Linked DNA regions of Nothobranchius furzeri. The protein of the gene in region 2 interacts with the protein of the main gene of each other region in a pairwise test. Links are inferred from orthologs where the notes say so. Each region holds a gene or a part of one and is shown on either strand. Other genes may lie near its edges.

The links.
Region 1: the proteins of bcl2l13 (region 2) and pln1 interact in binary tests that used the Homo sapiens proteins (3 or more experiments, as listed by UniProt). The two-hybrid records come from large-scale screens. The link is inferred for Nothobranchius furzeri from reciprocal best matches to the Homo sapiens genes BCL2L13 and PLN.

The regions. Positions count from the first base shown.
Region 1 is NC_091754.1:47,669,699-47,675,052, forward strand, and holds the start of pln1 (phospholamban), read left to right. Parts: upstream 1-2,222; 5' UTR 2,223-2,336; intron 2,337-4,565; 5' UTR 4,566-4,726; intron 4,727-5,351; 5' UTR 5,352-5,354. UniProt on the Homo sapiens protein: Reversibly inhibits the activity of ATP2A2/SERCA2 in cardiac sarcoplasmic reticulum by decreasing the apparent affinity of the ATPase for Ca(2+).
Region 2 is NC_091744.1:88,160,695-88,165,454, forward strand, and holds part of bcl2l13 (bcl-2-like protein 13), read left to right. Parts: intron 1-747; coding exon 748-828; intron 829-932; coding exon 933-1,089; intron 1,090-1,528; coding exon 1,529-1,601; intron 1,602-1,684; coding exon 1,685-1,813; intron 1,814-4,712; coding exon 4,713-4,760. UniProt on the Homo sapiens protein: May promote the activation of caspase-3 and apoptosis.

The DNA of each region.
Region 1 (5,354 bases), on a different chromosome or scaffold from region 2:
CCTGATCATCTCGGAAATGGAGATGTGTTCAGCTGTGTGAAGGGTGGCCACACCAGACCCTGGCTGTTTTCTGTCTTACCCTCTACCGTGATACGATGTCAACATTACGCCCGCTGTCCTGTAGACCGCCGCTCAGCCTTAGCTAATATCATCAGACATCCGCGAGCGTTTGAGGACACACCTAGACAGATGCAGAGTGTGATCTTCCTCGTAGACAACTTAGTCTTCACATATTAAGATCTGCATAAACAGCATAACGTGAGAATTGTAAAACGAGGAGTTTTAGCTCTGCTGGCCGACTAGAGGTGAGTCTTCACTGCTGAGGCGTTTATACCATCGACATATAAATATTGGACAATGGGTTTCCAAAGGCTCCAATAACACGTTTTTGAGGCCAAATGGGAGGTGGCCACCACCGCCATTTTGACCGTGTCACAGGTTCCGTCAAGCCCAGACAATTCCACAAAAGGGAAGAGAGGTGGAGCTGAGGGTGGGGCTCTAAGGCTGGGATCAACTGACGACACCCGGTCGAACTAGCTACAAGCTAACCGGAAGCTAACCCAAAGCTAATGCGGCGGTGGGAGCTAAGCTAACGGAGGTAGCAACCTAGCTACAACCAGAGTTAACTGTGCACAACCCCAGGGCTTCTGAGTCAGAGATACGCCGGGCTGACCGCTGGGTAAAACTGGGTGGAACACAGAGGTCTCCGAGAGCTCCACAAGCCGGCAGCCCACGCAGCAGACAGAAGCCGCGATCAGACAGAGATGCGCCGAGCTGCAGGGAGGGGAGAACGGGTGGAAAACATCGGTCTCCCGAGAGCTCCACAAGCCTATAGTAGGAATCCAGCTCCACCAACATGTTATATTTCAACCCATTTTCTAAAGTGCAGCATTATGTTAAATGCACTGGCTTTTACCCTATTACATTTAAATTTCATGGTTAAACAGTACATGTTAAAATCTAAGCTCAGCTCGGCAGTGACCTAAAATACATAAATATAATTTAACTTACCGAAAAAAATGAAGTGGAGACTCCTTGGACGCTCTATTAGTGCAATTAATGTCACAGCAAGTCATTTTGTCCAACAATTGCACAAAAAATATCCAAAAAATAATACACACACACAGAGACTCAAAATCTTGGAACAGTTTCTAGGCCAGAACGAGGCTCTACTGAGGCCTTTCCTCTGTGGTCACGTGGGTCTGATGCTTATTAATTATACAGAATTTTAGGCTTTTAATACACTTAAACAGAAGAGTGAGAAAAAAGTCACCCCCCTAAGAGTTGTCATGAGTGTAAACTAGATCATTTAAACAAAAAACATGTTTTGGTAGCAGGCTGTAAACATGTGTATTTCTGCTCTGAAATTGGTATTTTTAACATGGGAGTCAATGAGCATTTGCTCGTTTCTGACACCAGTCCCCAGTGGATGAGGGTGGAACTGCAATTTTTGGTACTTCCGGGTTGGGACCAATTTTTGAGCCGCATTGTGGGGGCTTGGTTTTTACAGAAACAGTGTAAGGTGGAGACATGTTAAACTCTCAGATGATGTCATCAGATTAAAACTGGACTTCTGCTTTAAATATGTCGTCAAAAAATAAACACTTGTAATCGCCTCTTGTGCACGAGAGTGGTGAGCTCTGATGGTGGGTTTCTAGGGCTGATGCTCCATCTGGAGGAGAAAGAGTTTGAGGTGATTTGGTAACTACTAACAACCTAGGAGCTCAGATAGAAGAGGGAATCAGAAGGTTCTGCCAAAGTGCCCCTGAGCAGGACACCAAACGCAGATAGCCCCGGTTTGCTAATTGTAGTATGACTCTGGATGGTGCCCAACCTCCAGGTCAAGGGGTCATGATGGATGAGAATAATCCTTCGTATCAGTTTTACATTCATCTGGATGCAGGTTTTATCTAAATGACAGTAATTTATATTTCATCATGACTGACAGAAGTAAAAACTTTGTTTTTTAATCTAATTCTGACAACTTCAGCTAGACAGTTTGACTCACTAGAGCCTGATGTGGAGCTCAGCGATGAGAATCTGTCCGTTACGGACAACAGGGCCGTAACGTTCATCACCGTCTCTCAGGATGTTCTTTATCTGTGTTTTAATCAGGTTTAAGAGCTAAACTTCCCCGCATGTATCATTCATCAGGCACAAATATGGGATCCTGAAACCACAGCTGGGATGTCCTGCCTCCTCTCCCTCCTCCTCTTCCTCCTCCCCATCCTTATCTTTGCTCCTCTCCTTCTCTCAGAGCGTGTCCAGCCTCAGAGGTCGCTGCATATCTAACATTTCTGCCTCAAGCTCCGACCAGAGCCGCTTTAATCTGCAAGGTAAGCCTCCATCTCCTACATCTTTGTTCCAACCAGCTCCAAACGTGGTTAGCTGAGTAGATCAAAAGGAACCAGAGACATCATCCATCCTGCTCCGGTGGTGAGAGGAGGAGATGCTGAGGAGGAGTGCATGAATCACTGCCTCTAATAAAGTCATTGTTCAGATGGAGTAAACATTTGTGAAGAGGGGAATGGAAACTAAACCTCCCAGAGGGATAAACACTCGCCTGGCGTTCCCATCCAGAGCACATGATCTTCTTTTGGAGAAATCAGCTGATTCTGATCACCGCTGCCATCCTGATGCATGGCTCCAGCGGTTAGATTAGATTACTGACTAATCCTAATTCAGTAGAAGGATGTTCACTGGTGACAAAGGTTTCATGCGAAGCTAAATTGGAGGATTCGTTTCACGGTGAACGCCAGATTTTATCCTGTGATCAAATAACAGAAAGGAGAATTCATGGCAATGAGTTTTTATAGTAAATGTCATAAAGTAATAATCATCAGAAGATGACTTTTAGAGAAGAAGATAGAAGAATCGGACAAACTGAAGGCGTCCTAAAACCGTTTTTAATAAATGTTCAAACTTTTCCAGATTAAGCAGTTATAGTTATAGTCAGATGTTTTATTTACTGAGCTACAGCACCTGTTTTCTGATGTGTGTGTGTGTGTGTGTGTGTGTGTGTGTGTGTGTGTGTGTGTGTGTGTGTGTGTGTGTGTGTGTGTGTGTGTGGCACTGGTCACAATGCCCAAGCACCGGGTCAGCAGCAGCTACGTGTGTTTAACCTACATTTCCTCCCACAGCTGTCCGTCACAAGGCGTGTGTGACTGAAGTCTGACAACAGAGTGAATGTATAAATAGCTCAGTGTGTGTGTGTGTGTGTGTGTGTGTGTGTGTGGCCTGGTATACGACAGCTGCTGCTGCTGACACATACTGATAGAAGTCACACGTTTGGAACGACGGGCATCTGAAAGTCTCCAGGTTAATTCAGAGTTTGGGTTGGTTGTTTCAGTGGAAGTCTGCAGGGAGGAGTTCACGTGGACCAAACAACCCCCCCCCCCCCACACACACACACACATAAGTTATTAATGCTGATTACTAAATTAGACCGACCCCCAAACCCAGTCTCCTGATGTTTAACTAAAGACTCCACTTCTCATCTTCCCAGTGGTGAAAAAGGTATTTACAGCCCCACCCTCTCACTGTAAACCGTGGCGTAGACTAAAAGGTCTCAAAAGCAACACATAACTCGTTTCATAGACCCAGAGCATCAGCTAAAGCCCTGCAGGGTCAGAGGTCATCATTCACAGAAAGAAAGAGAGACAGTGACAAAAATGGCCCAGTGGGAGGGTTCCAAGGGCAAAAGCATGGCGATGGTAGTGTGATGGTGTGGTGCCGCTCCAGGATCTGGACCACCTGCTGTACCCTATGACCGTAGCTTTAACAGCTGCTGGTTAATAACACATGAACCAATCAGGGCCTGCCTCCGATGGAAAGCTGTGCATGTTTGATCCAGATAAATGTGAGAATAACCAACAAGAGAGCAGAGAGGAAAGGTGAAGACAAGGAGAAGGGTAGAACATGTCAGACGGATGAGATTAGCTCCTAAATGCTGCAAAGTAAACAAAAGGTTAAAGGAGAGGCTAGCGGGCCTCAACTAGATGGAAGTTCAACATTTATACCTAAAATATCTTTTATTGTAAATGTCTGAGACTTCTGCCGGCGTCTACCCTAATGGCTTTGTCCAAATTCAGAGGTAGTGTCCTTGTGAGGACTCGTCCTACCCGGTCCACGTAGGACGAGTCCTTCCTCAACTGCCAAGACCAGAAATGAGCGGCTGTGAATTTGGACGATCTAGCCATCATACTCCTGCCTCAGCATGGGTCCTGTTGCCTAGCAACTATTAAACTAATTAGAAGTTAAAGCTAAACCCAGAGTGCTAACACCAGATATAACCATGTAATTACTTATAAACGTAGCATGAAAGACTCATCGAGAATCTTCTGGTGCTGATCCGTAGCTGGAAGCAGCCATGACCCTCGCGGGACGGGTGAGAGAGAATGAATTATGTTTAGAAAAAGAAGCTGCAGTACCCACATTTGACCACAGTGTGTCATGCTTGCTTCATCCTTACATATTGCACCTTTAGAGAAGAATCTGTGCACAACCGGCAGACATACTAACACTGAAACCGTAACCCCGACCCGCTTCATGTGCCATTGTTACAGAACTAAAACCTGTCGTTCAACCCGTGATGAACCCTGGGATGACCGTTGCCACGAGGAAACGCCAGACCTGTCCTTGAGCTCCGGAGAAAACGAGGACACGTTTGAGAAACCTTTGAATCTGGACGGGCTTGTTGCTTCGCTGTGGCGTAATCGGCCTTTAGGTGAGACATGGAAGGCTGCAGCTGCTAAACCATCCCTAGGGCCAGCTCGGTTAGGAGAGATGCTCCCACAGACTCATCTGAGCTCTTAAGGTGGACTGATTGGCTTCGGTCACACATGCCAGGCAGAGGCAGATTAGAGCCGGAAGGACAAAAGAAAGTGAAATAATAAAAATAGACGATCACATGAGCAGCTGTGACCTCTGCTGAGCTCCAGACGTCCAAGACGCTGCTGTGTGAATATCAGAAGGCGTTTCTTTAGCGCCATCTTCTGGACACACTCCAAAAGGACTTTAATTCTCCACACACCAATGGAAAGACGATCTCACAGGTTTTATCTGGAAGCTCATTAACAAGCATTCACACTGATAACTAAAAGGGACACCGCGTCCGCCACCACAGCAGCACCTGGACGGCTGCTTCTGACCTTCTAAATGTAGATCCCACAACAATGGTTGTGATCTTGACATATGTCCAGCTTAGCACATCACCGGGCCTCAACTGGCGCCTCTGAGCAGCTCATCGTCATGTGCCGCGAAGCCAAAAGGTCACATGCCTCCACCTGGAGGCAGGAGACCGAGCAGTGTGTGTTTAACGTTCTAATGTGTTCTCTTTTATCTGAAACTAGAGA
Region 2 (4,760 bases):
AGGTTTTATTAAGAAAACATTAGACGTCGCATAGACTTCTGTGTATTTCCCTGTTTCTGAGACTGAAATGGGCTAAGAGGTGCAGATGAGTGGCTGGTCCCTGCTTTCCGCTCGACTCGGTCCAATTTCTGACAGCCTGTCATGTGCAATCAGTGTGGGATTACTCACACACCAAAGGCTGAAGCTAAATAGTTGTCTGTCTGCGTGCTGAGACAGCAAAACGACCAGGAACCACCCCCCCACCCCAGCTCTGATCCTCAGGGTGTGCGTGCACCAGATGAAAAGGTAGAAACCAGACAGAGTTTGACTCCAGTGTTTGGAAAACTTGAATAATTAACCTGCTGTTGAGGACGCTGTTCTTCAAACCAGTTAAAATGGTCACCAGTTCCTCAGTGGAAGTAAACAAAGCCTGAATATTTCCCTTCAAACAGTCGTGATCCTTCCCGGTTGAGCGACTTCCCTCTGAATGTGTTTGGATTCTTGAGCAGTGCTGGGTTCCTTACATCCCCAGCAGCAGACCCAGTCCTGTCCAGTGGTGCTCTGAAACCGCCCGGCGACAGAACCCTCGTCAGATATTCCTCCTTATTTTAGCTCCATCATTTCATTTAAGAAGAAATACAGATGAACTGGAAATGAAATCTATCATCTGCAAAGACTTCTCCTCCATTCCTGCAGATAACTAGGTTTAGTGTGCATGAATCCTGAGCGTTACTCTTTGATCCATTTGCCAAACTTTGATCTGATTAGTTATCCAGAATGAAAGAAACCGAAGGATAAAAGTGGAGACGGACGAAGCTCTGAGGCAGCTGAAGGACGAAGTGTCTGCCTGTAAGTCCACGCTGAAGACTGACGTCAGGTTTTTACAACAACTTTGCTTCTGCATGGAAGCCTCTGGTCTCTCGCCACTGACACGTCTGATGTGTGGTCTGCAGCTGCCTCCGGTTTGGGCTTTGACCACCTCCTGTCTCCAGTGTTCAGCCCAGTGGACCCAGAGAGCTCGGTGGAAGACTGCCTCGCTGCAGTTGGAGACAAAGTGGCCATCGAGCTTGGCACACACCTGGCCACAGCTGCCCAAGCACTCCTCAGCGGGTGAGCTCATGTTTGAGGGAGTGTTTCACATTAAACATTTTATAACCATTTATACCTGAAAAAGCTCAAGTTTTTGTCCTCTGCTAAGATTTTCTCACTGCACCAACAGAAAATACAAAGTTCACAATCTCACGGGAACGACCGAGTCCGTGCTGGTTAACGGCTGCTTTGGGAATTCATGAGACGTTCTACCGGAAGAGAATAAATGGAATTCAGTGTGAAAGTCGGGCCAAGTGTTTAGATTTGGTCTAGTTTACAAACATACAGCTCCACTCCCGTGTTGATGCTTGTTCTTTCTGTTGGAACAACCCAGACTTGCATTAAGAAGTTAGGATGTGTGCATCTCTGGAGATGATTAAACCCAATATGAGTAGTTTCTATTCTAACTTAGCGTTGTTTGGAGTGAGTGTTGATTTCTGCTAACGTTTATGTGTTTTAGACCTCTGGACTACCCACGTTTCAGAAGCACGACCCTGGATCTGTCATTGCACACACAAGGAGGCTGGAACAAGGTGAGTCAGTCGCATCTTCTAAGCTGCTGTGCTTAAAACCGTTATTCCAGATAGAAACCTGCTTCATGGCTCACCACCTGCAGGTTCTGGTGCCTCTGGTGTTGCTCCAGGCTCTGCACAGGGAGGGTCAATCTCTGGAAACACTGTTGGAAGTGGGGCTGCACTTCCTGGAGGAGGAGGAAGCTGATTGCATCATCCAGCAAGGAGGATGGGTGAGTTTTGCAACTCAAGCGATTTGACATGAGTGAGGAATAACCATCATGGAAGGAGAAGCTCCTGGGTCTGGGTGGATTCAGACTCCACTACCAAGAGTCTGGGACGATGAAAGAAGGATCCAGATTATTACACTGATGGAAAAGCGAGAATGTAGATTTCCAAATGACCAGATGAGGGCGTCAGTGACTGATTTGATCATTTATATCGAGTTAAACCCGTTGATTACAACGATCACGGCCTGAATTTAAATCTTTGTTTTTAAATTAGAATAATGCAGTTTACCGAGCTTGTAAGAGACTTCTGGAGGTGAACAGTCAGATGTCAGGGAGAGTATTCAGAGTTGTGACGGGGTGATTTTTTAACGTTTCATGTCAGGATCAGAACACCGCTTCAGCTCGGCAGGCTGTAAGAAGTGGAACTCTTCCTGTAATGAGGTCATCCTGAGGAGGAGCCGCGGGACGTGACACGCCAACCGTTTTGTTTGTCGCCGTTAACCTCACGATGTTCTGCCTGGTTCCACGCATCGAACACAGAACACTGGCTTCAAACAAAGCCACGCTTTTGCTCAGTTATGTCATAGGAGATGAGGAGGGATGGGGGGGCATGATGAGAGTTGCGATAGGCAGGATGGGAAGCCAAGCAGGGGAGGGGTGAGAGATCAGCAGCCAGTGAGAGCACGGTTAGATGTTTATCACTGTGACATCTGCCTGCATGGACTCTCTCCACCTCCACCTCATCGCCACCACTCGCTCGCCTTTTGGACTTCTGAGGGATTTTCGCATCCGAGTGTAAACCGGAGCTTTGGCGACTTCGCACCAAGGTAGGAGGTTTTTCTTTGGAGCCACTCAAACGATGACCCCATTAGTCGTGATGGGACAAATTGTCAGAAGCTGAACTGGTGTTTGCTTACTGGCAGCATGGCTGCCACTTCCTACGGAGTCAGAGGCAGCCATCTCAGTCGTCTGAGGAAAGTTATTACCATGCTATAAAGGCTAAAACTGTGCATTTTGAATCGTAATTTTGGCACAAATCAGATGTTTCGTGGTTTAAATGTTTATTCTGTTAATCTTACAGATTCTAGCGTGACAGAGGCACATGACACACGTAACGTTACGGTTGAGTGGCTCTGATAATTCCTTTGTTGGTTTCGGCAGAAGATTGTGACCCTAATGTGGTGTTCGGTCCATTTGGCACGAACAAAGGTGCCTGGCCTCAGGCGGGTAGGAGGTGTGATGAGGTCTTCCTGACACATCAGACGTCGTCCTTCTGACGGGCTGAAAACTGCTGCTGCGCTCTGATGAGTGCTGACGGCTGCTTCTCACCTCCGAGCAAGGAGAGAGAAATCACCAAACCCCGGCTGCAGTTTTCAGTTTATATTTACACGAGTTTCTCCTCTGAGAAGTCCTGGTGCTGCAGGGACGAAGCTGGTGTGAGGGCTCCAGTCCAGGCAGAGGACGTCCCTCTGCTGACTTACGTAAGCAGTAGGAGACCAGGCCCAAGAGTCCACGACTGCACGCATCTAATAAAAAATACAAATCCGAGCATCCATGTTTCTGCATCTGTTCGTTAGTCTAACTGTTCACTCGATGCTCGGTTAAATGTACCGATGCAGATTTAAAGCTGCAGATAAAAAGGCCACATTTGCATCAGTAAAGTTAACAAGATTTTAGATTGATGTCTATTTTAGGTGATTTCTGATCCACTAGAATGTCTCAGCAGGAAAGATGGAGGAGGACTGATGCTGCGTCTGCGGTGATGAGGGTGTTGTAGCGGTCTGTTGTGGTGAAGAGCTGAGCCGGAGAGCGAGGCTCGATTTACCGGTCCGTCTACGTTCCTACCCTCTCCTACAGTCACGAGCTTTGGTAGTGACCGAAAGGACGAGATTACACACGCAAGCAGCCGAAATGAGTTTTCTTTGCAGGTTGTCTGGGCTCTAGGTAGGGTGAGAGACTCGGTCATCCAGGAGGGGCTCATAGCAAAACTGCTGCTCCTCCACATCGAGGGGAGCCAGTTGAGGTGGCTTGGGCATCTAATTCCATTTTTGGTTCTTTTTTAAACACAGGAAAGGTTTCTCTTCCTTGCTGTGTTTAGGAAGCGACGCCACCACCAGCGTCCGCTCTGAGGAGGTTTGCAGATGCAAACGAGAGTTTTTAACTCAAAACAAAAATGGAATCGTATTTAAGTTACTTCATGCAGATTTTCTGGAGATTTCTTTGTTTCTTTAGACTAATAAGATAAAATGTCTAAAAAATGAGTTGTTTTTTAAACTTTCTGTAGTGTAGCTCTAGATTTTTACAGTGAACAGACGGCTAACGGTCTTGTAGCAAAACGCACACACAGAAGTTTTCTGGTGGAGACCTGACCGCCCTGTTCTGCAGATCGAGGCTGCGTCCGAAGGGGAGAGGATTTTCTCCCTCGTGCAAATCAGCTTATGAAGAACTCAACCCTAACCCTAACCCTAGGATGACGATGGGATGCTGTTAGATTTAATCTTGTCCATTCCACCCGCGCCACAGCTGGTGTGCTGAGGGAAATGACCTTAAATGTTATTCGATATAAACGCAAGACCAATGTCCATAGTCTGCTCACAGGCGCTCTAATGGAGACTTCTGTGGAGGTTTATCAGATGTTTATGCTAACTCCTCAGTTTTACTGCTGAATCCCATTGGTTCATGTGACACGCAGCACAGCTGCGACCTCTTCTAGGTCACCTCGAGCATCAACACCTGCTAACGCCTCGTCACAAATCCTATCTACTCAGGTTACTTCTTTTTTTGTGCAATCTGCTAAATTCGTCTACTCTGTCAGTAGTTTGGTTCAACTGTCTGTAGCTCGTCTTACGGGGAGCGCTGCTCACGTTCTGATATCACATTCATGCTCGTTTCTGTGCCACAGGGTGGAATATTGGTCTTGGTGCCAGAGGAGCAGTGTGGTTCGACTGTA